2 linked regions of the Saccharomyces cerevisiae S288C genome follow. The protein of the gene in region 2 interacts with the protein of the main gene of each other region in a pairwise test. Each region holds a gene or a part of one and is shown on either strand. Other genes may lie near its edges. The genes, in order: STE14 and AVT4.

The links.
Region 1: the proteins of AVT4 (region 2) and STE14 interact in a protein complementation assay, tested with the Saccharomyces cerevisiae proteins (one large-scale study listed by BioGRID).

The regions. Positions count from the first base shown.
Region 1 is NC_001136.10:1,290,584-1,302,177, forward strand, and holds STE14 (protein-S-isoprenylcysteine carboxyl O-methyltransferase), read right to left. Parts: upstream 2,509-11,594; coding exon 1,789-2,508; downstream 1-1,788. Other genes in the region: SUMO ligase SIZ1, read left to right, coding at 1-1,537; DFM1 (Dfm1p), read right to left, coding at 2,786-3,811; rRNA-processing protein RRP17, read left to right, coding at 4,110-4,817; ERD1 (Erd1p), read right to left, coding at 5,015-6,103; YDR415C (putative aminopeptidase), read right to left, coding at 6,454-7,578; mRNA splicing protein SYF1, read left to right, coding at 7,849-10,428; 60S ribosomal protein uL11 RPL12B, read left to right, coding at 11,033-11,530. UniProt on the Saccharomyces cerevisiae protein: Mediates C-terminal methylation of the isoprenylated C-terminal cysteine in A-factor mating pheromone and Ras proteins.
Region 2 is NC_001146.8:424,473-437,640, reverse strand, and holds AVT4 (Avt4p), read right to left. Parts: upstream 2,643-13,168; coding exon 501-2,642; downstream 1-500. Other genes in the region: MIC27 (Mic27p), read right to left, coding at 1-28; DNA-directed DNA polymerase alpha catalytic subunit POL1, read right to left, coding at 3,148-7,554; MET4 (Met4p), read right to left, coding at 7,888-9,906; 2-isopropylmalate synthase LEU4, read left to right, coding at 10,887-12,746; phosphatidylinositol-3-/phosphoinositide 5-phosphatase INP52, read left to right, coding at 13,146-13,168. UniProt on the Saccharomyces cerevisiae protein: Involved in amino acid efflux from the vacuole to the cytoplasm. Capable of transporting large neutral amino acids including tyrosine, glutamine, asparagine, isoleucine and leucine.

The sequences.
Region 1 (11,594 bases), on a different chromosome or scaffold from region 2:
ACAAATTCCTACGTGGCAATGCCCAGTATGTCAAATTGATATAGCTTTGGAAAATTTAGCAATTTCCGAATTTGTTGATGACATTTTACAGAACTGTCAAAAAAACGTTGAACAGGTAGAACTTACTTCTGATGGTAAGTGGACAGCCATATTGGAAGACGATGATGACAGCGACAGTGACAGCAATGATGGTAGTAGAAGCCCAGAAAAAGGTACTTCAGTATCGGATCATCATTGTTCTTCTTCACATCCAAGTGAACCGATTATCATAAATCTCGATAGTGATGATGACGAACCAAATGGAAATAATCCTCATGTTACTAATAATCATGATGATAGCAACAGGCATAGTAATGATAACAATAATAATAGTATCAAAAATAATGATAGTCATAATAAAAATAATAATAATAATAATAATAACAATAATAATAATAATGATAATAATAATAGTATCGAAAATAATGATAGTAATAGTAATAATAAACATGATCATGGTAGTCGCAGTAATACTCCCAGTCATAATCATACTAAAAATTTAATGAACGATAATGATGACGATGATGATGATCGACTTATGGCGGAAATAACTAGCAATCACCTTAAAAGTACTAATACAGATATTCTAACTGAAAAAGGTTCAAGTGCACCCTCGAGAACCCTGGATCCAAAAAGTTATAACATAGTTGCTTCAGAAACTACTACTCCGGTGACAAACAGGGTTATTCCTGAGTACCTCGGAAACAGTTCCAGTTATATTGGTAAACAATTGCCGAACATTCTGGGAAAAACGCCTTTAAATGTGACTGCTGTTGATAATTCATCCCACTTAATCTCTCCAGATGTTAGCGTATCATCCCCAACGCCAAGAAACACCGCTTCAAATGCAAGTTCGAGCGCTCTCAGTACCCCTCCCTTAATAAGAATGAGTTCATTAGATCCCAGGGGATCCACTGTTCCCGATAAAACAATAAGGCCTCCCATAAATTCCAACAGTTATACTGCATCGATATCAGATTCATTTGTCCAGCCTCAAGAATCTTCAGTTTTTCCACCACGTGAACAGAATATGGATATGTCCTTTCCTTCCACCGTGAACTCAAGATTTAATGATCCACGTTTGAATACCACAAGATTCCCTGATTCAACATTGCGTGGGGCAACTATTTTGTCGAATAATGGGCTTGATCAAAGGAATAACTCTCTACCAACAACAGAAGCAATCACGAGGAATGACGTCGGGCGACAAAATTCTACGCCTGTACTTCCCACGTTGCCCCAGAACGTCCCAATTCGTACAAACTCTAACAAGTCTGGGCTTCCTTTGATAAACAATGAAAACAGTGTCCCCAATCCTCCCAACACTGCAACCATACCGTTGCAGAAGTCCAGACTCATTGTAAATCCATTCATTCCAAGGAGGCCTTACTCTAATGTACTGCCCCAAAAAAGACAACTTTCTAATACATCCTCAACTTCACCCATAATGGGTACATGGAAAACGCAAGATTATGGAAAGAAATACAACAGTGGTTAAAAACGAGGCTAAAATTGGACGGTTCCGTCCAGCTCTTTCATGAAATATTTTCTTTGTAATTGTGCATATGACCTTCATTTTCTATAATTTTCCGTTCGAAAAAGAAATATTTTCTTCTTTTCAATACTCAAAGGCAATATCACTGTTTGCATTCCCCTAGCATTTATTACCTACCAAATACAGATGCACAAGATTAGATAAAATCTTACATAACACAAAAATCCAGTCCATAACTAACACAATCATTACTATTATATAAAAGGTATTCCGACACCAACCTTATTCTTGTATTCTATGTATTCCGCGCTAAAGAACTCTATCAAATATTTTTCTTCCACACGAATTCTATCACTGAAAAATTTCCAAAGTACAAAAATGAAAATAACCAATGATAGGGGATTTAGAAGCAGTAGCTGAGTGCCAATTGCCCACCAAAAGAACCCAAGATAACTTGGATGTCTTGACCAGGAGTAAACGCCAGTTTTCACTAAAACATGATCGGACTCCTTCTTGGTCTTCACAATATGAGAAAAGGAATGTCCCGCAGTATGCATAGCAATAGTTCTGGTATATTGTCCCAGAATAACTAGAAGACATCCAAGTACTGTACAAAGCTTGGTAGCTAGAGAGTAGCTAAAAATTTTCAGATCAGGAAAAAGAAAGCTTTCTACGAGGCATTCCAGAATAGCAAAGGAATGTGCCGCCATGTAACTTTTGCCGTTGTTCAGAAGAAAGGACTCTGAATGTACCTTAAGAGGATTGTATTTAGCTGTAATATAATACTCCAAAAAATGGAATAAGGACAGGGCAATAATAAAGAGGTTAAAATTCTTGAATCTAATTTGTGGAAAAAGACCAACAAATATACCTAAAAGAATCCCCAGTATGTAGGAAGTCATGGTCACCTCATGCAGCGGATTGCGTCTGATGTCTGGATACTCATGCTCGTCTTCTTGAAAATCTTGGTGCATGTTGTGTTCAAAAACGGTGACCACAATGAAAGAGGAGGTAAAAAGAGTAATTATCTTGAAATCGATTTTCACTTTCTTATATAATTCATCAACACGAGAACCTTTCTATATACTGGTGGTATCATGTAAAGAATTGTTTTACCATAGTGGCCCATTTGTCAATTCGTCTTGAGTGATGTTTCATTATCAATCGGTTGCTATGCCAACGAAAATACTATGTCAGACTCTCTTGATGTATATAATGAATGGCAAAGTACATAGAAATAGATAAAAGTTGTTATTGTGAGTCGGAGGGGCTGTTTGTTTGTCCTACTCGTTGGCCGCGGCCTTGAAATTGGTTCAAATTCGATGGGCCACTTCTTAATTGACTTCCAGAAGCTCTGCCTGAATCTGTGCCACTGGTTTGAGACAATGTTGCAGGGGCCGTACCCAATCGTTGACCTCTTCCACTAAAAGTTCTCGTTTCTCTTTGCGAAGATGGCACATTGGCAAAGTTGTTGTTGAATGTTGCAGTTTCATTGTGGGCACCCGTTATGCGAGCATATAGACTAGTAAACCACCATGGCGTTGAGAATTTCCCATTGGGCGAGATTCCGTAGGTTGGATCAGCTTTTCTGGATATCATCCCCCATATTGGCCCCAGTGTATGGGTATCTAAGCATGTATAAAGGTACCCTGTAGTAAAACCGATCAATGAGATTACGAAATCACCCTCATTAAAAACGAAAGAGATAAACAATTGAATTAAGGGGAAGTACTTCCCCCAAACAGGAATCAAACCATAAAACATGATCTGCACGTTGGCATTGTCGATCGACCAAGTATATGTAATGCATGATATGAACCCAGAGGTGAGCACAACAGGGTAGTAGGACCCATAAATGATTGTAGTGGCCGTAGTGATGGCTAGTATACAAAAGCACAGGTAGTAGGCATAGTCTACTGTTACCATCGGTCCTCGTCTATTGGACAAACCGGGACCAAAATGCCCTCGCTCCAACTGTGAGGACCTGTCATAAATACTATATAGTTCCATTAGCGCAGGCATGGCACGAGACGAAAGCATTACACAAGAAGTAAGAAGTCTCCATATCTGAACCTTCTTGAACGTCAAATTCCAAACATAAATAAAGTACCACGGATTGATTAGATTCAACCGGCCGACGATCGTCATAACGATCGCTAGAGTAAATAAAGTTCTTGTTATTGGGGGGATATTTAACCAGAATTCTTTTGGGCCCATCACATCATTATTACGGCCTCCATTTCCATGTAATGTACGCACATTCCTTGGGCCTGCCATTATTTCCTCGAAAATAGTTTTTGATTTGACTTGGAAATGCGGAATTCACTGGTAATTTGTTGTATTTTGCCTTATATCCTTTGTTTGATACTCTTGTCTTATATTGAAGAGGACACGATTTCATGAGCCGCGAACGGGTAAGTAGGGACTTTTCACATTTGAAATTTTTCAAATGTGATGAGGATCGATTCTGCAAAGCAGCAGATAATAGCAGATAAAAAATAGAGAGTTGCAATATTCAAGTTCCTGGTAGCTGCTCGAATCAAGAGGGGTGAATTAAAGGTTTTCGATTTTTGCTATGGCTGTTCACACCAATAGGCAAATCCTTACAAGAGGCAAAAACTATGCTACAAAGCAATCAAAGAAATTCGGTACCGATGAGGTGACGTTCGACAAGGATTCTCGTTTGGATTATCTGACTGGCTTTCACAAGAGAAAGCTTCAAAGACAAAAGAAAGCACAAGAGTTTATTAAGGAGCAGGAAAGGCTTAGAAAAATTGAAGAAAGACAGAAGATTCGGCAGGAACGTAAGGAGGTGATGGAAGAACAGTTAAAGACGTTTAAAGAGAGTTTAAACTTGGAAGCTGAGATAGAGGATGCGAAAAATGATAAGACGGAGGATTTGCAGGTAGAATCTGATGAATCCTGGCACGGGTTTGATTCTGATAAAGATGACGGCGATAACGACAATAATGAAAGTAGCGTAAAGCCTATTTTGAAGAAAGGAGCAATCACGGAAATATACGATGACTCAACTACTGTTGAATTGGAGACATTGGAACCCAATGATAACTTTGAATATTTAGCCCAGCTAAATAATGTCAAATTAGAAAAGGCAGAAAAAGTACTCAAACAAAGCATAAATAGAGCCACCAAATACGCGAAGTTTCTGGGCGTGGATGAGAAACAAAAGAAGAAGCCAAGAGTAAAAAAGTTCAGATATTTGACCAAAAATGAACGAAGAATAAACCAAAGAAAGGCAAACGACAACAAGCGTAGGAGATAATGCAGTCGCATTATCGTCGGGCACCGCCTGGGGTTTCTTGACGCTCAAACAGTGTTTGATTTTTTTTTGGAAAAGTATATACTGTGCATATGTATTTTTCGTTTATTATATGTAATATATCGAATAAACCATTCTACGGGGAAAATAGAACAAATATTTACAGCATTTGCATGATTTTATATGGCTTGCCCAACAAATTATTTGCTTGCAAACTTAATATAATACTCTGCGTCCAATTTGAAAACGACCCATATGCCTCTTCTAATTACTTCGAAATACTGCATTTCGCCTTGGAAAAAAATGTAGTCGCTATCTGCGGCAACTAATTTCAGATTCTGCGATAAATATACCCATAGCCACCAGAACCTCAGCAAAAAGTCAACGAGAATCGCCGAATGATACATTTTTTTCTTTAATGTGACGGCACTTTTGGATCTGGATCTTAAAGAGGTTAACGAGTCCAATGACCAATCCATCCTTACATCCCAAAATAACGTATAGGAAGAATTAATTAGCATAAACCATCTTTGAACGTGGTGTAGTCTTTCTTCGTTGATGGATCCCTCATACACTCTTGATCTCCAGGTGCAAAAAAGAATGGGAAGATTACAACTGTATTTCAATGCATTGAATAGTAAAGTTGCTTCGTGCAGTAAACGGTATTCTCTCAAACACTGCAGTAGTCTTACCAGTACAGGAAGAAGGGCTACGGATAGATCAAAATGTGTGAAGGGTTCTCTAAAAATTAGAGAGGTAAACAATGTGAAGTCTATCAATGGTTTTGCAAACGATGTCAACGTGTCAGAGATTAAAATGTAGGTATTCCTTAAGGAACGGGGGGAGGATTCTATCAACAAACATCTCCTAGTACAATATTTTATTATCTGGCACTCTTTCAACAGAAACCAAAATATAGTGACACATTGGATCAATGGTAGAAAATATACGATGAGAATGATATTTTTGAGTGGACCTTCTATAATATTCATGAACTCAAAAAGGAACACAGTGGCAAAGTGGAACGGTATAATAATCCTTGTTATCTTCAAAGCAAAATTTCTAGCTGTTCTATGCAATTGCTGTAGAGTATAACCTGGACGTATATCGTGCGGTACTCTCGTGAGTATGACTTGGGATACGTCTAAATTACTATGCAAGAAGAATTTTAATATCCATGTCCAGATCCAAAGGGCAAGTATTATGAGCACAATAAATCGCTGCGGAGGGGGAACATTTAATATATTTTGGAGATAAAGTCCTTCAGAATTACTTTCGCTTTTCTCCATATTTTGCGGCCCAACTTGTTGCAGAATTGAAAACTTTGTATAATACTAATAATAATTTATAATAATAACAATAATAATTTATAACAATAATAACAATGCCAAACAATTTATATGGGTAACCAGTTTTTGGTACTGTTTGCCATCAATATTGCGACTAAATCGGGAGCGGTTAGCGCTGGCTTGCACTTTTTGCAACTGACTCTATTTCTTTCATTGATTATGTTATTTTCAGATGACGAAATACGCCAAAAAAATTCGGGAAATAAATACTAGCGTGATATCGGTTTAGGTATATTACAAAAGAACACCAAGGTAAGGCATCATTAGTTATGTATGCATATTACTGACTTTTACCAAGCGGACCATGACCCGAGTTCAATGATTACCCCTAATACAATTTTTGTGTGTTCCGCCATATGAGCGAGACTTAATCTGTCCAAAGTATCCATGGTGCTGTGAATATACTTGTTAGTCTTTTTGAACTCACTTTCAATCACGAAGGAGCCTGGAAATCCGTTTCTGGTGGCACTCCCATGATCGCTACAAGCATAGCCACATTGTGTATCCCTGTAAGGAATGGATAGATAAGAGTTGATAATTAGTTTTATAAAATCAGTTAATGCGGGAGTAGTGTAGTCGGTGACAATCCCCACATGTTCATCTTCTGGATCAGAAACATATCCCGTCATGTCTTGCTGAAGCATCGCTCTCACATGCTTTTTCTGTTTGGCATAAGCTGTAAAAACATCAAGAGAACCCAACAATCCCCCCTCTTCGGCGGAATAAAAGTGAAATTCCACAGTGTTGTTAGGTCTAAATCCTCTCTTCAAAAAATTTTCCGTATATAATCTGAGAGCCTCCATATTAGTCACCGTGCCTGACCCATTGTCGTCCGCACCTGGAGCTGCCATTATGGATGGCAGTAGCAGATTGATAGAATCTTGATGAGAACCAATTATTATAATATCTTCTGGCGTAGTAGATCCCGTGACACGGACTATAATTGAATATTGCTTCCATTCTTTGTGATCAAAATGTTCAATAGTCAACGTATCTTGCGGAATATCTTTTGTAATATTAGCGATAGTTGCAGCTAACCACTCGGCAGATTCAAAGCCGTGATCGGACTTGTAGTAACGGGTGTAAAAACTTGTAAACTTTGCCAAGTTCTTGTGCATAGAGCCCTTGTCTATATTCTTAATCGAATCATCCACTACTTCTTTGTTCGATATCTCAGGAGGATAGTTATACGTTGGTACTGTTGGCTCTTCCTCCTTGTTAAAGAAAGGTAAGAAAGAAGTGTGTTTGGTCACATCAAAGAATTTGACACCTCTTCTTCGTAAGTTTAGCTTTTCTGATTCGGGAACCTCCATTACCTCATTCTCTCCTACTTGTAAAACCCTTAAAGGCTCATATGGATATGACCATGCGATGATGGCAACATTAAATAAAACAAAAAGCGACTGTATCCTCATATTGTGCTAATCAGCGGTTGATTATGTTACTTACTTTTTCGAATAAAGATTTTGTATTTCTTTAGCTTCGAAGATTGATAATTATTGAATATCAAGTTTCAGTTTACTATAGCGGTCCGAACATATGAAAGATTTTAGTAAAGACGCTGGCAAGCTTTTCAGTCAAAATAATACAAAAGGAAATAGATAGAAAAAAAGGAAATAATCAGGCCTCCATATTGGACTCAACTATCCTTCAGTACCGCAAAACTTATTGTGTCCATATATCCTATGTCAGCATACATCGCAATGAAAGGAGTAATAACAAACGTCGATGAGAACATAAGAAATGATGAAGATGTGGCTTTTGAGTACGAAATACAAAAGACACCGCAGAACATACTTACATGGAAAAGATATATCGAGTATTGGAAAGAGGAGGGAAGAACTGACAAACAGATTAGGTGGCTATATGAAAGATTTTGTTCACAATTTGTAACAGATACAAGTATATGGGAAGATTATATACGCTGGGAATCAACAAAGGAAGTAGTCGAAACTTCACGTATTTTCTGGCTTTTTCAAAGGTGCCTGAAAAGCTGTGTACGAGATTGTGACAGGATATGTTTGTCTTATTTAGAATTGGCAATTGAACAATATGACTTGGCAATGATAAGGCATGCCTTAGCTTCATCTTTAATGAAAATGGAGAGAGAAATGCATCGGAAAGTTTGGGATCCTGTCATAAAATTTGTGGAAGAAAAAGTTTTACCATTAACGCAACTGGATTCAACTCAAGAAGATGAAGAAGAAAGTACTGATGAAGCTGAATTGATAAATGTACTTTTAGTGAAGGGTTTCACGAAGGGAGGTTTTATTAGCGAGGAAATTAGTGAAAACGGAAGTAGAGGTGATATTTGGTCGTCACATATTTTAGAAAGATACTTAAAAGTGGCTCCTCAGCAAAAACGAAATGAATCGCTGGCAACTCTTGCATTAACTAGAGACAATATTACCATCAAATCAGTATATGAAAAGTATTTGCCACAAGATGAAAATAGTGGGAAGTATCTACCTAGTTCAGAACTGCCTTTTGAATTAAATTTCAATTATTTGGCCAGCCTAGAAAAACTAGGTTTAGATAATCAATATGAGGAGTTCATGAGGCAAATGAATGGCATATATCCCGACAAATGGCTTTTTTTGATCCTATCACTTGCCAAATATTATATCTCTCGCGGGAGGCTTGACAGTTGTGGTGATTTATTGAAGAAAAGTTTACAGCAAACACTTAGGTACAGTGATTTTGATCGCATCTATAATTTCTATTTGCTATTTGAGCAAGAGTGCTCCCAATTTATTCTGGGAAAGCTAAAGGAAAATGACAGCAAATTCTTTAATCAAAAAGATTGGACTGAAAAGTTACAAGCTCATATGGCGACATTTGAATCTTTAATCAACTTATATGATATCTATTTGAACGATGTCGCACTAAGGCAAGATTCCAACTTGGTGGAAACGTGGATGAAAAGAGTGTCCTTGCAGAAGTCAGCAGCGGAAAAGTGTAATGTGTATTCAGAAGCTATACTGAAAATTGATCCCCGAAAAGTTGGTACGCCTGGCTCTTTCGGTAGGCTTTGGTGTTCGTATGGGGATTTGTATTGGAGATCAAACGCAATTAGTACAGCTAGAGAATTGTGGACACAATCTCTGAAGGTACCGTATCCTTATATAGAAGATCTGGAAGAAATTTACCTAAACTGGGCTGATAGAGAATTAGATAAAGAAGGGGTGGAAAGAGCTTTTTCTATCCTTGAAGATGCATTACATGTGCCAACAAATCCAGAAATTCTCCTCGAAAAATATAAGAATGGACACAGAAAAATACCTGCTCAAACTGTTCTATTCAACTCATTACGTATTTGGTCCAAATACATTGATTATCTAGAGGCTTACTGCCCAAAGGATGCAAATTCCTCCGATAAAATATTCAATAAGACAAAAATGGCATACAATACTGTTATTGATTTGAGATTGATCACTCCAGCAATGGCAGAAAATTTTGCATTGTTCTTACAAAATCATTACGAAGTCATGGAAAGTTTTCAGGTGTATGAGAAAACAATCCCTCTGTTTCCCCCCGAAATCCAATACGAATTATGGATTGAGTATCTAGAAGTAGCGACATCACATCAATTGTCATCACTGAGTCCTGAACATATTAGATTTTTGTTTGAGAAAGCACTTAAGAATCTATGTTCAAATGGTATAGACTGTAAAACAATTTTTATCGCTTATAGCGTATTTGAAGAAAGGATAAGTGGTCTGATTAGCAAGAGTATTGAGATATTACGTAGAGGTGCTGTAATAGGTACTGTTAGTGTGAGCACGCACCTCGAAAGTAGACTGCAACTGTGGAGAATGTGTATTTCCAAGGCCGAGTCTACTTTGGGACCATCAGTAACCAGAGAGTTGTACCAAGAATGCATTCAAATTTTACCAAACTCTAAAGCTGTTGAGTTTGTGATTAAATTTTCAGATTTCGAGAGCTCTATAGGAGAAACTATTCGAGCACGTGAAATCCTTGCCTATGGTGCAAAGCTTCTTCCTCCATCCAGAAATACTGAATTATGGGATAGCTTTGAAATTTTTGAGTTAAAACATGGGGATAAGGAAACTTACAAAGACATGTTGAAGATGAAGAAGGTGTTGGAATCCAACATGCTCATTGATTCAGCTAGCGTTAGCCATGAGGAAGGTAACATTAACTTCGTGGCGGCAGCAACCTCGCATGCTCCCAACTCGCATACTCTTACCCAATCAACCTCTTCATATTCGATTAATCCAGATGAAATAGAACTAGATATTTGATATAAGCTATGTAAAATCATGCATCATTTTCGAAACCATAAGTTCTTTTTTGGTGCGGCCTTCTGCAATTACTGATTAAGTAGCAATTTTCCTTCAAACATCCGTGCACTGTGGATGTTTGGGTTGTGTATTTTGCTTTCATAACATACAGATATTTTGTTTAAGGAAGTGAAATAAACAATATCATAAAACAGGTACTTCATAGACCATAAAGCATAACCCAGATTATCCTCTTAGATAGCAATGCTAATGTAAACAGAGATCCGTTTGCGTGACTTTATACTAATATGATATGTCTACTTCGCTTTGTGTTCGAGCAGCCTGGCAGTCCCCTCTAGCCGCTTTTTTCCCTTTCCGAAGGTTTCCGCCTAAGCCCCCTGGCTCTAGGCCGAGAAAATGTTAATGCTCCTTCTACGAGAAAATGCTTGTCGCCACACCAGGACAGGTGCTCGACGACGCTTCCGCTAATCTTTCTCAATGTTGTATCTTCTTTGGCGGTACATTACTAGTATGAAAATGGAATAAAAACAGTACCTAAATTATTTACTTACTTCCCGTTAAAGCAACCCCAAGTGCCCAATAGAAGGATAAATCAATAGTCAATATGCCTCCAAAGTTTGATCCAAATGAAGTTAAGTACTTGTACTTGAGAGCTGTCGGTGGTGAAGTCGGTGCTTCCGCCGCCTTGGCTCCAAAGATCGGTCCATTGGGTTTATCCCCAAAGAAGGTTGGTGAAGATATCGCCAAGGCCACCAAGGAATTCAAAGGTATCAAAGTTACTGTCCAATTGAAAATCCAAAACAGACAAGCTGCTGCTTCTGTTGTTCCATCTGCTTCCTCTTTGGTCATTACTGCTTTGAAGGAACCACCAAGAGACAGAAAGAAGGATAAGAACGTCAAGCATAGCGGTAACATCCAATTGGATGAAATTATTGAAATTGCCAGACAAATGAGAGACAAATCCTTCGGTAGAACTTTGGCTTCCGTTACTAAGGAAATTTTGGGTACTGCTCAATCTGTCGGTTGTCGTGTTGATTTCAAGAACCCTCATGACATCATTGAAGGTATTAACGCTGGTGAAATTGAAATTCCAGAAAACTAAGGTTGTTTATAACATCAAAAATCCATTCCATATATTATTCTGTACTTTTAATTTAAAAGGCTTT
Region 2 (13,168 bases):
CATCCACGTCATCATAAAAATTTACCATTTTGGAAGCTGTATTGGTAAATGGTGTGCTGCTTCTGTCTTTGACTGCTTACTTTAATTATGAAACTATCACATTGTCATTAATCCCACTCTACTCCTTGATATGTTTAAAAGTTCTCAGGTTGTCGGGGCATTAAGCGGAGTAATCGGATCAAGCTTATTCGCAGATTGGAAAAAAAAATAAAATTCTGGCAATCTTGAACTTGATAATAAATATGAAATTGTGTATATTCAGACATGCTCACCACCTACTAATCGTAGATGGAACATTAAATAACAATATAGGGGTAATGCTTTTAGTGTTTTTTACCTACTACATAATTTCGTGCGAATAATACTGTGACCTGGCGGTCCTTGTTTATATAAAGTGAATTAAGAAGACGTTTGCAACTGCAAGCTGTCAATGGCGACAATGGCAAAATAGTGTTCCTCGATTCCAAATAAATTCTTTATGAAGCAACAACATATATCGTCTAGACACCGAATATACTCTGGTAAGACGTATAAAGCATGCTTGCAATACCGAAGAAAATTAAAATGGTATCTAACATTGGTTTGAATCTCCAAAATTCCCCTTTAGTCTCTGGAAGGCTATTGCCCCGTAAATGCAGCATCGATGGGTATATATATACCAAAGGAATACAGGCGAGGGATCCTATAACTGAAACGAACTTGTCTAAATTATCAGACCCAAAGTAAGCAATTGATACAACAATGATTACGATTATAGAACGAATAAAGTTCTTCAGCCATTTAATTTTCCAGTTCAGCTTTCCTGAATTAGGACGTAATTCGACTCTTGTTGTTAGATCATCGTGCTTGACATATATTTTAGTGAACTTTGGAAAAAACTTATTTTCAATAATTTTAATAGCTGGAAACAACTGCAAAGGTGTGGACAACATAATTGCGATGGAATAGAACAGCTGGATTAAGTTTACAAAAATGTTACTTTGAGGTAAGTTCAACAGTATAACCGTTTGAACATTTGAGCCGTATGCCAAATATCCCAATGTAGCTATGGAAATGAAAAGTATGGTTGCCGTTAGAATCACCAAAGCAAGTACTAAAGGAAATTTTTCAGGATTTCTCATTGAGTCTTGAACAGGAATAATTAACCCGATTCCTTCGAAAGCAAATATTGCCGTCCCGATAAACAGCGTCCAACGGTCTGCATTTAAGCCATAGACGACACCCATTGCTGGGGTCCCCATCAGGTCAAAAAACAACCTTTTGGCTGTAAAAATAATGACAATGACTAAACCAGCCATGATGAAAAAATTTGCTAGTAAAGATGGTAGTGACAATTTCGAAATGTTTCTAATAAACGAAAGTGGAATAAAAATGATCGTTTGAAAGACCATCAGGTAAGATAAAGGTAGGACGCCCACATGGAATACGTTATCAAGAAAAGCTTGTAAATTTTTTGCAGTAAATATCATATAAGCTCCAGAGAATCCAACTTGAGTTATTACTAGGGAGAAAAGAATTATTATTCTCATCCAAGGTCCATACAGTTTTAAACCAATATCACCAAAGGAGGATACACCGCATGAAGATTTGGCCTGCACCAATATGTAGTAACACCAGTATGAATAAATTCCAAAAAAGGCCAGCATACTTACTGAGAAAAACAAACCACCATTATGAAAGGCATTAGGTAAAAATAAAACGCCAGTTCCAATGAAAGATTTAAGCAATATCAAAAAAACCTTCTTTGTCGAAGTCGTACCTTTGGCTGAAGGTAATACTTTCATATGGTCAGGCCGAGACAGCAATGCACTCCTTTCATCTTCTCCGCGTATCATCATGTTTGAGCTATCAGGGATAAAATCATCCTCGAAGGATTCACCAGCAAAATGTCCAAACACGTATAGAAATTCCAAAAAGTTTCTTGTTAAAAAGGGGACCTTATCGATATCTTGGTTAGAAGATGGAGATGACTGGTTAATCGAATCGCTTTCATGCGAAGTGAAGTCTGAGCTAGCGGAATCATTTAATTGATGTTCTTGCCTTTTTTTGTTGACAATAAATTCCCTTCTGAAGCCACCGGGGACATTTAAACCACTTGCTGATGACAATTTAGTATGGTGCTCAATTTTAGGTGTTACATTTTCCATGGACCGAGGGCGTCTGAGCCGTTTAGGATCCTCTGCTTTAACCAACTTGTAAATATCATGCGTTATGTCGCCTCCAGCGCTACTCAGGTTAGTCTCATCGTCATCACTATCAACATTTGCTGCAGCTATGGTACTTGCTGAAGAATTCTTAGTCGGATTAACCCTAGGGATTGCTTCATTTCCATGAGAGACGGAACTTCTTTTGCTACTGTTCAAGTAGTTAAGCCGTACACTGTTTATAATCTCATCTCTGTGGGGATCCTCCAGAGTCTGAAAATTGGGAGAAGACATATCCACAAATACTCTAGAATCAACGCTTCGACATATATCCCTCGGCGTTAAGGTAGACATAGAATACTTCCTACTATAAAATGGGTTTGAATTGAGAACTGTTGATTGAGCCCTTCTGGGAATTTTCATATTATTGGAAGGATGCCTTAAATTTCCGTTTCTTCGGATCCCAAGGTGCTCACCATCTCCATTGTTAGTGACCATTGATGATGTGTTCTAGGATATTGTTATGTTGATTCCAGATTATGAATGACGTTGAAATGTGTTTTAGAGGAGGAATGATGAGTGCCTTTGAACCTAAGGAATCAGATGGCTAAAAATGCTATGTCACCTCGAAAGCAAGAGCAGATCAAGGTAAATGATATCCAACTATATTGTGGGTATTGCTTTTATCAAACTGGCTTATGACAGTGCTTCACAAGATTTAAGCATTCTATTTCATTGATGAAGCTGTTCGCTTATCTGATCTTGCTGATAAGGCGAATCTTAATGCATGGGTTTATTAAAGGATGATGCATGTGAGAACTGATCACCAGAGCCGAAAAAACATTCTCAGAATATCGCTGAAAACCTTCAATAATAAAAGCTTCCTAGCGCTCCTTCCGATGTCTGTACATTAGGTATCTAGTAGGATGCGTATGTACAGTTGTATTCTTTTCTTACTATATAGAATATTCATGAGATCACACAACACATACAAAATACTTACCTAATTTAGCATGAAATCAAATATGCTAGTCATATCAACGTAGCGACGTCCACAATCGTTCAAATATTTTTGAACAACGCTCCGGCCGGTTTCCATTAGTTCTCTGTTTTGTTCTGTTAAAGCCTTAATAGATGATTCTGTCAGCTGTTCCTTGGGGTAGTCGAGATCATCGGGTAGATATATTGGCTTCAATTCTTGCTTTTTATTTTTTTCACAATCGAATAAAGAATCGAAATATAAAAGTTGATTGTACAATTGCTTGTCACTGTATTTGTATCTCATGACACCCGTGCAGCCGTCATTCAAACAACGCTTACCAAAAACGGAGACTTGTCTTGTAACTATACCGCATGTGCTGTCATCACACTGTAACCACCCTGCGTAATATAAGGAAATGTGTGCCCTTATAGAATGCTCTATTTGGCTAGTTAATTGAAGAGGAGTAAAAAGTTGCTCACAATGCTTGCACTGTAAACCATTATATGACACGCGATAGTAATTTGAAGATACAATACCACCAAATGGAAACCTTTTATCGCATGATGGGCAACTTAATTCTAATGTTACAGTATCCTTAAACCTTTCAACGTCTGTAATTGTTGTTTCTAAGGGTTGCAAATTATTAATATCTTCTCCATTGTTATTACCGCCCTCTCTTCTAAAATACTTTTTACTATCTAAACCAAGCGCTTCACTCAAACGCACCACGTTGAAGCTATCAATTCTTTCTAACAACCTTTCTACCGGCGCGAATATTTGTTTCTCGAGATAATATTGTGGATCAGGTATCAAATTGTTACTTTTAATCATTACCTCATTCAATGCATGGGCACGTTCAGCCACAGAAAGAGCCGGCGTATCCGCTGCATTGTCTATTTCATCCTGCTTTGTGATCACAAAAGTGATGACAGAGCCAGCTTTAACAACTCTACCAGCCTTACGCATTCTTAGAGCTACTTGGACTGCAGGCATGTTTTTACCACCTGGGTAGGCCTTGGGATCTTTTGAAAGCTTCATATTGATCTTATATTTATCAATTCTAATGTTATTGGTTTCCACTTTTATTCTGATGTCTTCTAAGTAATCATACACTTCTTGCAATGCTTCTTCTGGGTCCTTATCTGACAGGATGGTGTTTAAAACATGTATAGAAACGTCCCTCGAAAGTGGACAAAATTCACGACGCTTCATGTCCAACCCTTTAACTTCTAGAACAGTAGTTCCATTACCATTTTTGTCCAAATTTACAGTCAAAGCAGCGTACTTTTTCTTGGCATGTAATAGTAACTTCTTAAAAACATTATCAATATCAATCTCCAATAATCTATAGCGCTCATTTACTAGCCTTTTAAATCCCAAGCCAATTTTAATTGCATCCGCATAATTATCACAACCGGTATCTATCATGACCGAATCTGTATCACCATAAACTACAAGAAGATTCATACTTTCAGCTAGTTGTCTTGTATTCATTAAAATCTCACGACCCTTATTAGTGACTAACATGGCGAGCGGCTTTGCGTAAAATCTACTGTTAACATAACCCAAACAACCATACATAGAATTGGCAGTCAATTTTAGAGCTTGTTGACGAATATCACATTGAACTCGCTTATGGGGATCAGTTTCAGTTTTCATCACCTTCTTAACTTCACGTCGACGATCCACCAGATTAGCTAATAACCTTGGTAAAACACCCTGATCCACCTCTGAAGGAGGTACGCTTGGTAACTCATCGATATCTTCCTTATTTCTATCAACGGTGGTAAAACATATATTAAATTCCTGGATAATAGATGGATACAAAGAATTAAAGTCCATGACTAAAACGTAATTCTTATGAAGACCTTTCTCAGGTTCAAAAACTAAACCACCCTGATATTTTGCCTTTTTAGAATTAACTGGTGCATCAGCATTTTCTTCATTTTGTCTTTGTTTCTGAGCTCTACTTCTATTGCCTTCTTTGTCAGGAACAATAAAACCATTTCTTGAAAATTCATGTAGTAAGATATACTCATTTCTACCAGCTCTTGTACCGCCTAGCGTTTGGGCCCATGCATTACCAGCCAAATTTGTCAACTGTTTAGTCAAGGTTAATAATTGAATTCTATAAGACACCTCAGCAGAAATCATACAATTAGTAATATTCTCTTGTAGGGCCATTGTCATACTATTTACATCATTTTGGTATTGTGGATTTTGATAATCAATATCTAACGGCTTATGCTCCTTTTCACATGTAACTTGATACATCTCTGAAAGATCCCAACTTTGACATTTGGGTGTTAATGATTGACCCATTTCATTGGCGATATCACATATCAGCCTACCAGAGCAAATGTCACTAATAAAAAAATGGTTCATATTCGAATTTCCTCTACCGAATTTTTCAGGCCAAGTCCTTCTTAAACGACGGCCAATAGAGCTGAACGTTGGAATGTTGAGATCATGCATTCTATGAGCTAAAACATCTAAGTAGACATTTTGCAAACGATGGCCTATGATAACATCTGGGTCTTCCACTTTTAACATAGCACAAAAACAAGATAGCATGGCCTTTTCGTTGTTGAACAACCTGACTCTACCGGGTAGTTTCTGTTTTGCCAGTGCAGCTAAACCTAATGGGAAACTAGTTGACTGAGGCGGCCTTACTAAAGTACACAAGTCGTCTGGTTTTATATTTTCAGGTATCGGTGAATCCAACGAGATATTTCTATATGCTGATAACGTTATCGAAACAATCTCTTGCTTATTTTCCTTGGGATTCATTAACGTCTGAATCGATAAAGATAGACATCTCAGATTAGGCATTGTCTTTGTTGTAGTAGGCGTGATATTCTGAGGCTTATCTACCGAAACTTCAACCGCACAGTGAGAAGCATTACGAATTGAATTGAAATCTGCTCCCTTTATATCTAACCAGCATGGTCCCATAATCCTATTTTGAATAACAAAACTTTCAAAAATATTGGAATTCCCACCAAAAACATGATAAAAGGTATCGCTAGATAAATCCGATGGAATGGTGTCTCGACTGGACTTCGGTGTTTGGTATGGAAGTAAGACTTTCAAATAATCACTTTCAGATGGAATGTCAGGAAGCTCAAACGAATATTTCATTTTTTGAGGTTTAGCGCGGATATTATCCAGTCCATATTTATCCATCAGTAACGGAATTATTTCCTCGTGTATATCGGTAGGTGTTTTACCCTCTCTTGGAAGGAAAAATAGCTCTCTACAGAGACCGTTGATTTGAACCATGGCTGACACACAATTATCATCCTTTAGTTTAACCTTACCAAATAAAATCAAAGTGTTGTTCACTTCACAGTAATCCAACCAAAACATTTGGAAAGTATCAGTTTCCGGATCTACCACATCTTCCTTTTTGACATTAACCGCAAGTGTAGCAACATCGGTGTTGCTCTGCAAAGATTTACTTGGAGTTAGTCCTTTAATACCGATTGGCGTTCCGGGTGCTGTGACAAACGGTGAAGTTGAAGGGTTACTTCTTGAGTCTATATTCACGCGTCTAGTTGTTGTCACACTTCTCATAGTTCTTCTTTTCAGAATAATATCTTCATCACTATCTTCATCATCTTCTTCATCAGCCAAACTTTGAGCGGATGGTGGATTTGCTAGTAACGTATCTTGAAGTACATTCTGTCTCTTTGTGGCTACTACTGGGGAATTTTCCACATCATCCAATAAATCCTGTACATCATTTGCGTAGCGCAGTTTCCTGCTTTGTAATTTTAACGGTGATGATTCGATTTCTAAATATTTATCAGTACTTGAATCTGGATCAATCTTGACTTTTTTAGAAATACCGGCATCATGACTTGACTCATCGTTTCCGTTAACTCTCTTTATTGACGATTTAAATTCACTAGTCGGCGAAGAATTTAAATTTTCCCTTAATTTGGATGGCAGTAAAATATTGGGTTTTTCTACTTCACCAGATTCAAACTCACCAAGAATGTCATCAAAATTATCGATGGGGATACTTTTTTTTTGGGATTTTTTTGCATGTGCTAGCAGTGTTGATTTGGAATGTTGAGTTCGCAGCATATCTGTAATCTGGTGGTCTTTCTCCCTTTTTATATTCTTCTTCCTTTTAGAATCCTTGCTAGCAAGGTTTCCAGTGTCTTCATCACTTGAACTGTTATCAACTTCCCTCCAATCTTCTTCGACACCACGATCGACGTAGCCTACACCATCGTCATCTACAACAAAATCGTCATGCAGCAATTCCTGGCGCTTTCTGGCCCTGTATTCTTTTTCGTCGATTTCGTCGTATATTCTGTCACCATCTGATTCGTCACCTTCGTAATCATCGATGGATGTACCATTTCGAGCGGCTTGCAGCTTTCTCAATTTTTCTAATTTTTCACTTTTAGAAGACATTTTCCACTGTTTATTTTATGCCTTGATACTATTTGGTTTCTAATAGCAGAGTGAAGACAGTTTTTTTTCTCGTGAGTCTGAATTGGTATGTGTTCGTTGTCTAGACCAAGAAGATATATATCATCCAATGAGTAAAGAATTTAATTCAGTAAAATTGGATACACGCGACGCGTTTTACTTATAGGCTAACAAAAAAATTTTAACGCGTTTGAATAGATGTGTGATGAATGAAGAATAGAGATTGCAGGCAGTACAAGAAAAAAGTTATATTTCTTTAAGAAAAATGCACGTATATATATATATATATATAATTAAACTGTATAGTCTGTTATTTTATTCTTTCTGAACCTTCTCAAAAATTTGCTTCTTTAAGCTTTCAGCTTTTTTTATTCCTTCCGTTTCACCGCTACTCAGAACTAAATTCTTTAAAAGCTTGTTTTCCGTTTCTAACGTATGTATCCGTTTTTGTAAGGATGCTGCAATTTCGGTCAGTTCATGTATCGATGATTCTAACTCCTTTTCCTTTAGTTTTTTTTTTTGATGAGATTTTTTCGACTGTATCAATAAATCTTCATCGTCGTCCCCTAACTCTTTCTTGATCAGTTGCTTCTTTTCAAAGCCGTGTAAATCTGCATCGTCATATTCATCGTCTTCATTATCAGAATACTTGCGGTCGACGGGTACTTTTTTATTTTTCAAATCTCCGGAGTGTGATCTTTTTAAACTATTTTCCTTGTGATCAGAAGAACTTGCATTTAAAGTTGGCTCGGATCGTATCTTGGCAATTTCGTCTCCACGCGTCGTACTTGACTTAATAACAGCGTTATTATGATGGACATTATCGTTTCCATTGTTACCGTCACTCTCTCTTGATATTTTATGATCGTTTCGTGAAGGTTGTCGTTGATTGTGAATATTATTACTTTTTGGATGCTTTATGCCCAGTTCCAAAATGGAGCTTAGAAAAGAAGCCTCTGCTACTACACCGTGCTCATTGAACGAAGGCGACGTTGATAAGGTAGTTGGCGCAGCAGTTTCAGCCGGAGAGGGTGGTATTAAGACACTTAAAAGTTCGTTGATGTTTTTTAGAATGGGTGCCTCTTGACTGTCATTGGTGTTGATGTTTTTATTATTATTACTGTTATTTTCCCTAATCTTTTTTTGATGATGATACGCCATTATTGCGGCTATAGCATCTATTTGATCATTGTCAAATCCCGCGCTGATCAACGAGTTATATGCGCCGTTGGGCACGTTGACCCTCGGTAATAGAGTTACTAAAACAGAGGTTGGTATAATTGAATAGTCAGGAACAGTTATATTGGGGGCTTTGTTGGAGCTGTTATTATCGCTGTTACTATCGACTTTGCTTTCCGAATGTTTTCGTTGTTGTGAAGAGGAATTTTGAGCAGAAGTGACATTGCTTAGGGGGGAGGAGCGGTTCGGTGTGTGTGTTGTCCTATGTAGTAGATTTGATAGCGCATCCACTCCATTGTCACCGGTAGTATTGTTCTCAGTTGATGTAATGTCAACATTTGTGAAGCCGCCATGGTCGATTGATGTCATATTAGTTGCGTCAGCGGGAAACTGAGAAGGGCTTCCCATAAAGTTTGGCTCAAAAGGATGGTTATTTTGCATATTGTCGCCAAAGTTGTTTGTTTCGCCGTTATTGCCATTTCTTTTGTTTTTGGACGAAAATCGAGACTTTGATTGGTCGTATTGGGAAGTTAGGAAAGTATTCCTTCTTTGAGTCAAGAAGTGAGGATTTCTTTGTCTATTATTGGTAGAAGGGTCCTCATGCAATACGTCGTGGTTGCTATGGTCGTCATTACCATTATTGCTGTTGTTATTGTTATTGCTCGGCTTATCCTCGTCTGGGAAGATGAAAGAATCGTCGGCAAACGCACTCAACTCAATGGCTAGTTGTTCATCCAAGTCAAAAGGATTTGCATTTATGCTGCTGAAAGTGTCCGCGCCATTATTGTTTGCATTATTATGGGTGGTATTCACATTCCAATCCACATTAGAGAACTCGTTATCCAGAGATGGTATGAAGTTATCCACGTAGGCCAACTGTTCTAAGAGTATTTCTGGCGTGACAGCGTGGTCATATAGGTTAGTGTTGCCCCTATTGGTAACGTCACCTATTAGGGGGCGCCTATTCTCGCTGCTGGTCACCAGAGAAGATGACGATGAGGCTGTTGCCACAAACTGGTCCAACGAGTTCGTGCTCCCCATGCCATTATTATTAGCACCGTTGTTGCTGCTAGGGTGTGTTGCGGTATCTTTGCCAAAGAGATTTATGAATTCCGTGCTGTATGAGTCGCCTTCGTGGGACTGCTCCTGCTTCATCGTTCACAGTGGAAAAAAAGGAATAAAAGTGCTTATCAGAAGTGCGCTTTATTGACGAGAGTCTGTCTAAACAGTTGACGGACAGGCAAGAAGACCTTCAGGAGTTGACTAATATATGAAATGATGTGCGTTCAAACAGACCGTTTCACCTGGCACAGATGCATGTAAACAAGGATATACGTTATTACATGCTACGGCTACATCTAGATTGGGTGGATTTAAGTTGAACGATGAAAGAAAATTCAAGCAATATGCTTGTGTGGCCCGATGACACACAATAGCATGTGCGACGAGACACCAGCTGTGTGCCGGGTGCTACCCGCGCACGTGATTAAAAGGAAACGGGGAAAAAGCCATAGCGGAAAAGTGCTCGAAGAAGCCTCGATAAATGAAGTAAAAAATTCGATATTTTTCAACGACAATAAGACGTATATAAGCATCCGTATGTCCAGCGATTGAGCTTATGCTTCTGTTCTCCGCTTTGACACTTCCACTCGGCTGTTATGACCAGCCCCAGGATTGCTACCGGAGCGGGACCGGCTCTGAGACAGTAGTAGGTTAGTCATCGCTCTACCGACGCGCAGGAAAAGAAAGAAGGCCTCAGAAAAGCTGAGTTGAATGTGTGTCATACTTGGCTGAAAAAATTGTACAGTAACGGCCAGTCACTGTCATGCGCGTGCATGTATGTGCGTGCATGTATGTGTGTATGTATATTTATATATATATAAGCACGGGCGCATGGGAGATGTGCGCTATGGAGTCGCGTAGGTTCGATGTTTTCTCCTCTTGGGTCAGCCTCTCTCCTCTTTCAACGTTCTTTCCATAATCATTTATTGGTTATTTTTCAACTTGACCAGTAAAAAGAAACTTACGTGTAAGTGACTCAGTTCTTTCAAAGGGTATTTTTTGAAGAAAAAAAAGGATTCTCACACTAGAAGTTTACTGTAGACTTTTTCCTTACAAAAAGACAAGGAACAATCATGGTTAAAGAGAGTATTATTGCTCTTGCTGAGCATGCGGCCTCCAGAGCCTCAAGAGTTATTCCTCCAGTGAAGCTAGCCTATAAAAATATGCTTAAGGACCCTTCCTCCAAGTACAAGCCATTTAACGCTCCAAAGCTATCTAATAGAAAGTGGCCGGATAACCGGATCACGAGGGCTCCTCGTTGGTTATCAACAGATTTGAGAGATGGTAACCAATCTCTGCCGGATCCCATGTCAGTGGAACAAAAGAAAGAATACTTTCACAAGCTGGTCAATATTGGGTTCAAAGAAATCGAGGTTTCCTTCCCCTCTGCATCTCAAACAGATTTCGACTTCACTAGATATGCTGTAGAAAACGCCCCAGACGATGTTAGTATTCAATGTCTTGTCCAATCTAGAGAACACTTGATTAAGAGAACGGTGGAAGCATTAACAGGTGCTAAAAAGGCTACTATACATACTTACTTGGCAACAAGTGATATGTTCCGTGAAATTGTTTTTAATATGTCTAGAGAGGAAGCTATTTCCAAGGCAGTAGAGGCCACCAAACTAGTTAGGAAACTAACTAAGGATGACCCTTCCCAACAAGCCACTCGTTGGTCCTATGAGTTTTCCCCCGAATGTTTCAGTGATACTCCAGGTGAATTTGCTGTAGAAATTTGCGAAGCTGTTAAGAAGGCTTGGGAACCTACCGAGGAAAATCCAATCATTTTCAACTTACCTGCTACCGTAGAAGTTGCCTCTCCAAATGTTTATGCTGATCAGATTGAATACTTCGCTACCCATATTACTGAGCGTGAGAAGGTTTGCATCTCTACACATTGTCACAATGACCGTGGTTGCGGTGTCGCCGCCACAGAGTTAGGTATGCTTGCAGGTGCCGACCGTGTAGAAGGATGTCTCTTTGGTAATGGTGAACGTACAGGTAATGTGGACTTGGTTACTGTTGCTATGAATATGTATACCCAAGGTGTTTCTCCTAATTTGGATTTCTCTGACTTGACCTCTGTCCTAGATGTGGTTGAGCGTTGTAATAAGATCCCAGTATCGCAAAGAGCACCATACGGCGGTGACTTGGTCGTTTGTGCCTTTTCCGGTTCTCACCAAGACGCCATTAAGAAGGGTTTCAACTTACAAAACAAGAAGCGTGCTCAAGGTGAAACTCAATGGAGAATCCCATACTTGCCATTGGATCCAAAGGACATTGGCCGTGATTACGAAGCTGTCATCAGAGTCAACTCTCAGTCTGGTAAAGGTGGTGCCGCTTGGGTTATTTTGAGATCTTTGGGTTTGGATCTACCAAGAAACATGCAAATCGAATTTTCTAGCGCCGTTCAAGACCATGCTGACTCCTTGGGTAGAGAACTAAAATCAGATGAGATTTCCAAGTTATTCAAAGAGGCTTACAACTACAATGACGAACAGTACCAAGCTATTAGTTTAGTCAATTATAATGTTGAAAAATTCGGCACTGAACGTAGAGTGTTCACTGGTCAAGTCAAAGTAGGCGACCAGATCGTCGATATTGAAGGTACAGGTAATGGTCCAATCTCTTCTTTGGTCGACGCCCTATCAAACTTGTTGAACGTGAGATTTGCCGTAGCAAACTACACAGAGCATTCTCTAGGTTCTGGTTCTTCTACGCAAGCTGCTTCTTACATCCATCTATCGTATAGGCGTAATGCCGACAACGAAAAGGCCTACAAATGGGGTGTAGGTGTCTCCGAAGATGTCGGTGATTCTTCAGTGAGAGCCATCTTTGCCACCATTAACAATATTATCCATTCTGGTGATGTGTCCATTCCATCTTTGGCCGAGGTCGAAGGTAAGAATGCTGCGGCATCTGGCTCTGCATAAGAACTTTTCTGTATTTCAGGACTTATTCGCTTCTATTTATTTCTATACTTATTTATTTACTTCCTTTCCTTTTTTTTTAACCATATAATTACTAGAAGCACGGATGTCTAAATTAGAATTACGTTTTAATATCTTTTTTTCCATATCTAGGGCTAGTGCTTGTTTTTCTTTTTTTAGTATATTCTTGAACCAAATACGTGTGGGGTGACCCGAAACTTGTTTGGCGGTTAGTGACGAAATTGAAACAAACCTGGAGTTATTAAGAGAGATTTAACTGGAAAACTAGGCATAAAGGACAATAAGTACTCGCTTCATATAGTCTCAACATATTTTTGTTCGCAGAATTGGTGACAAAGGCCACGCAAAGGCAGCAGAATCAAAAACAAATACTCAGTAGCTATGAAAATACTCCTATCGAAACA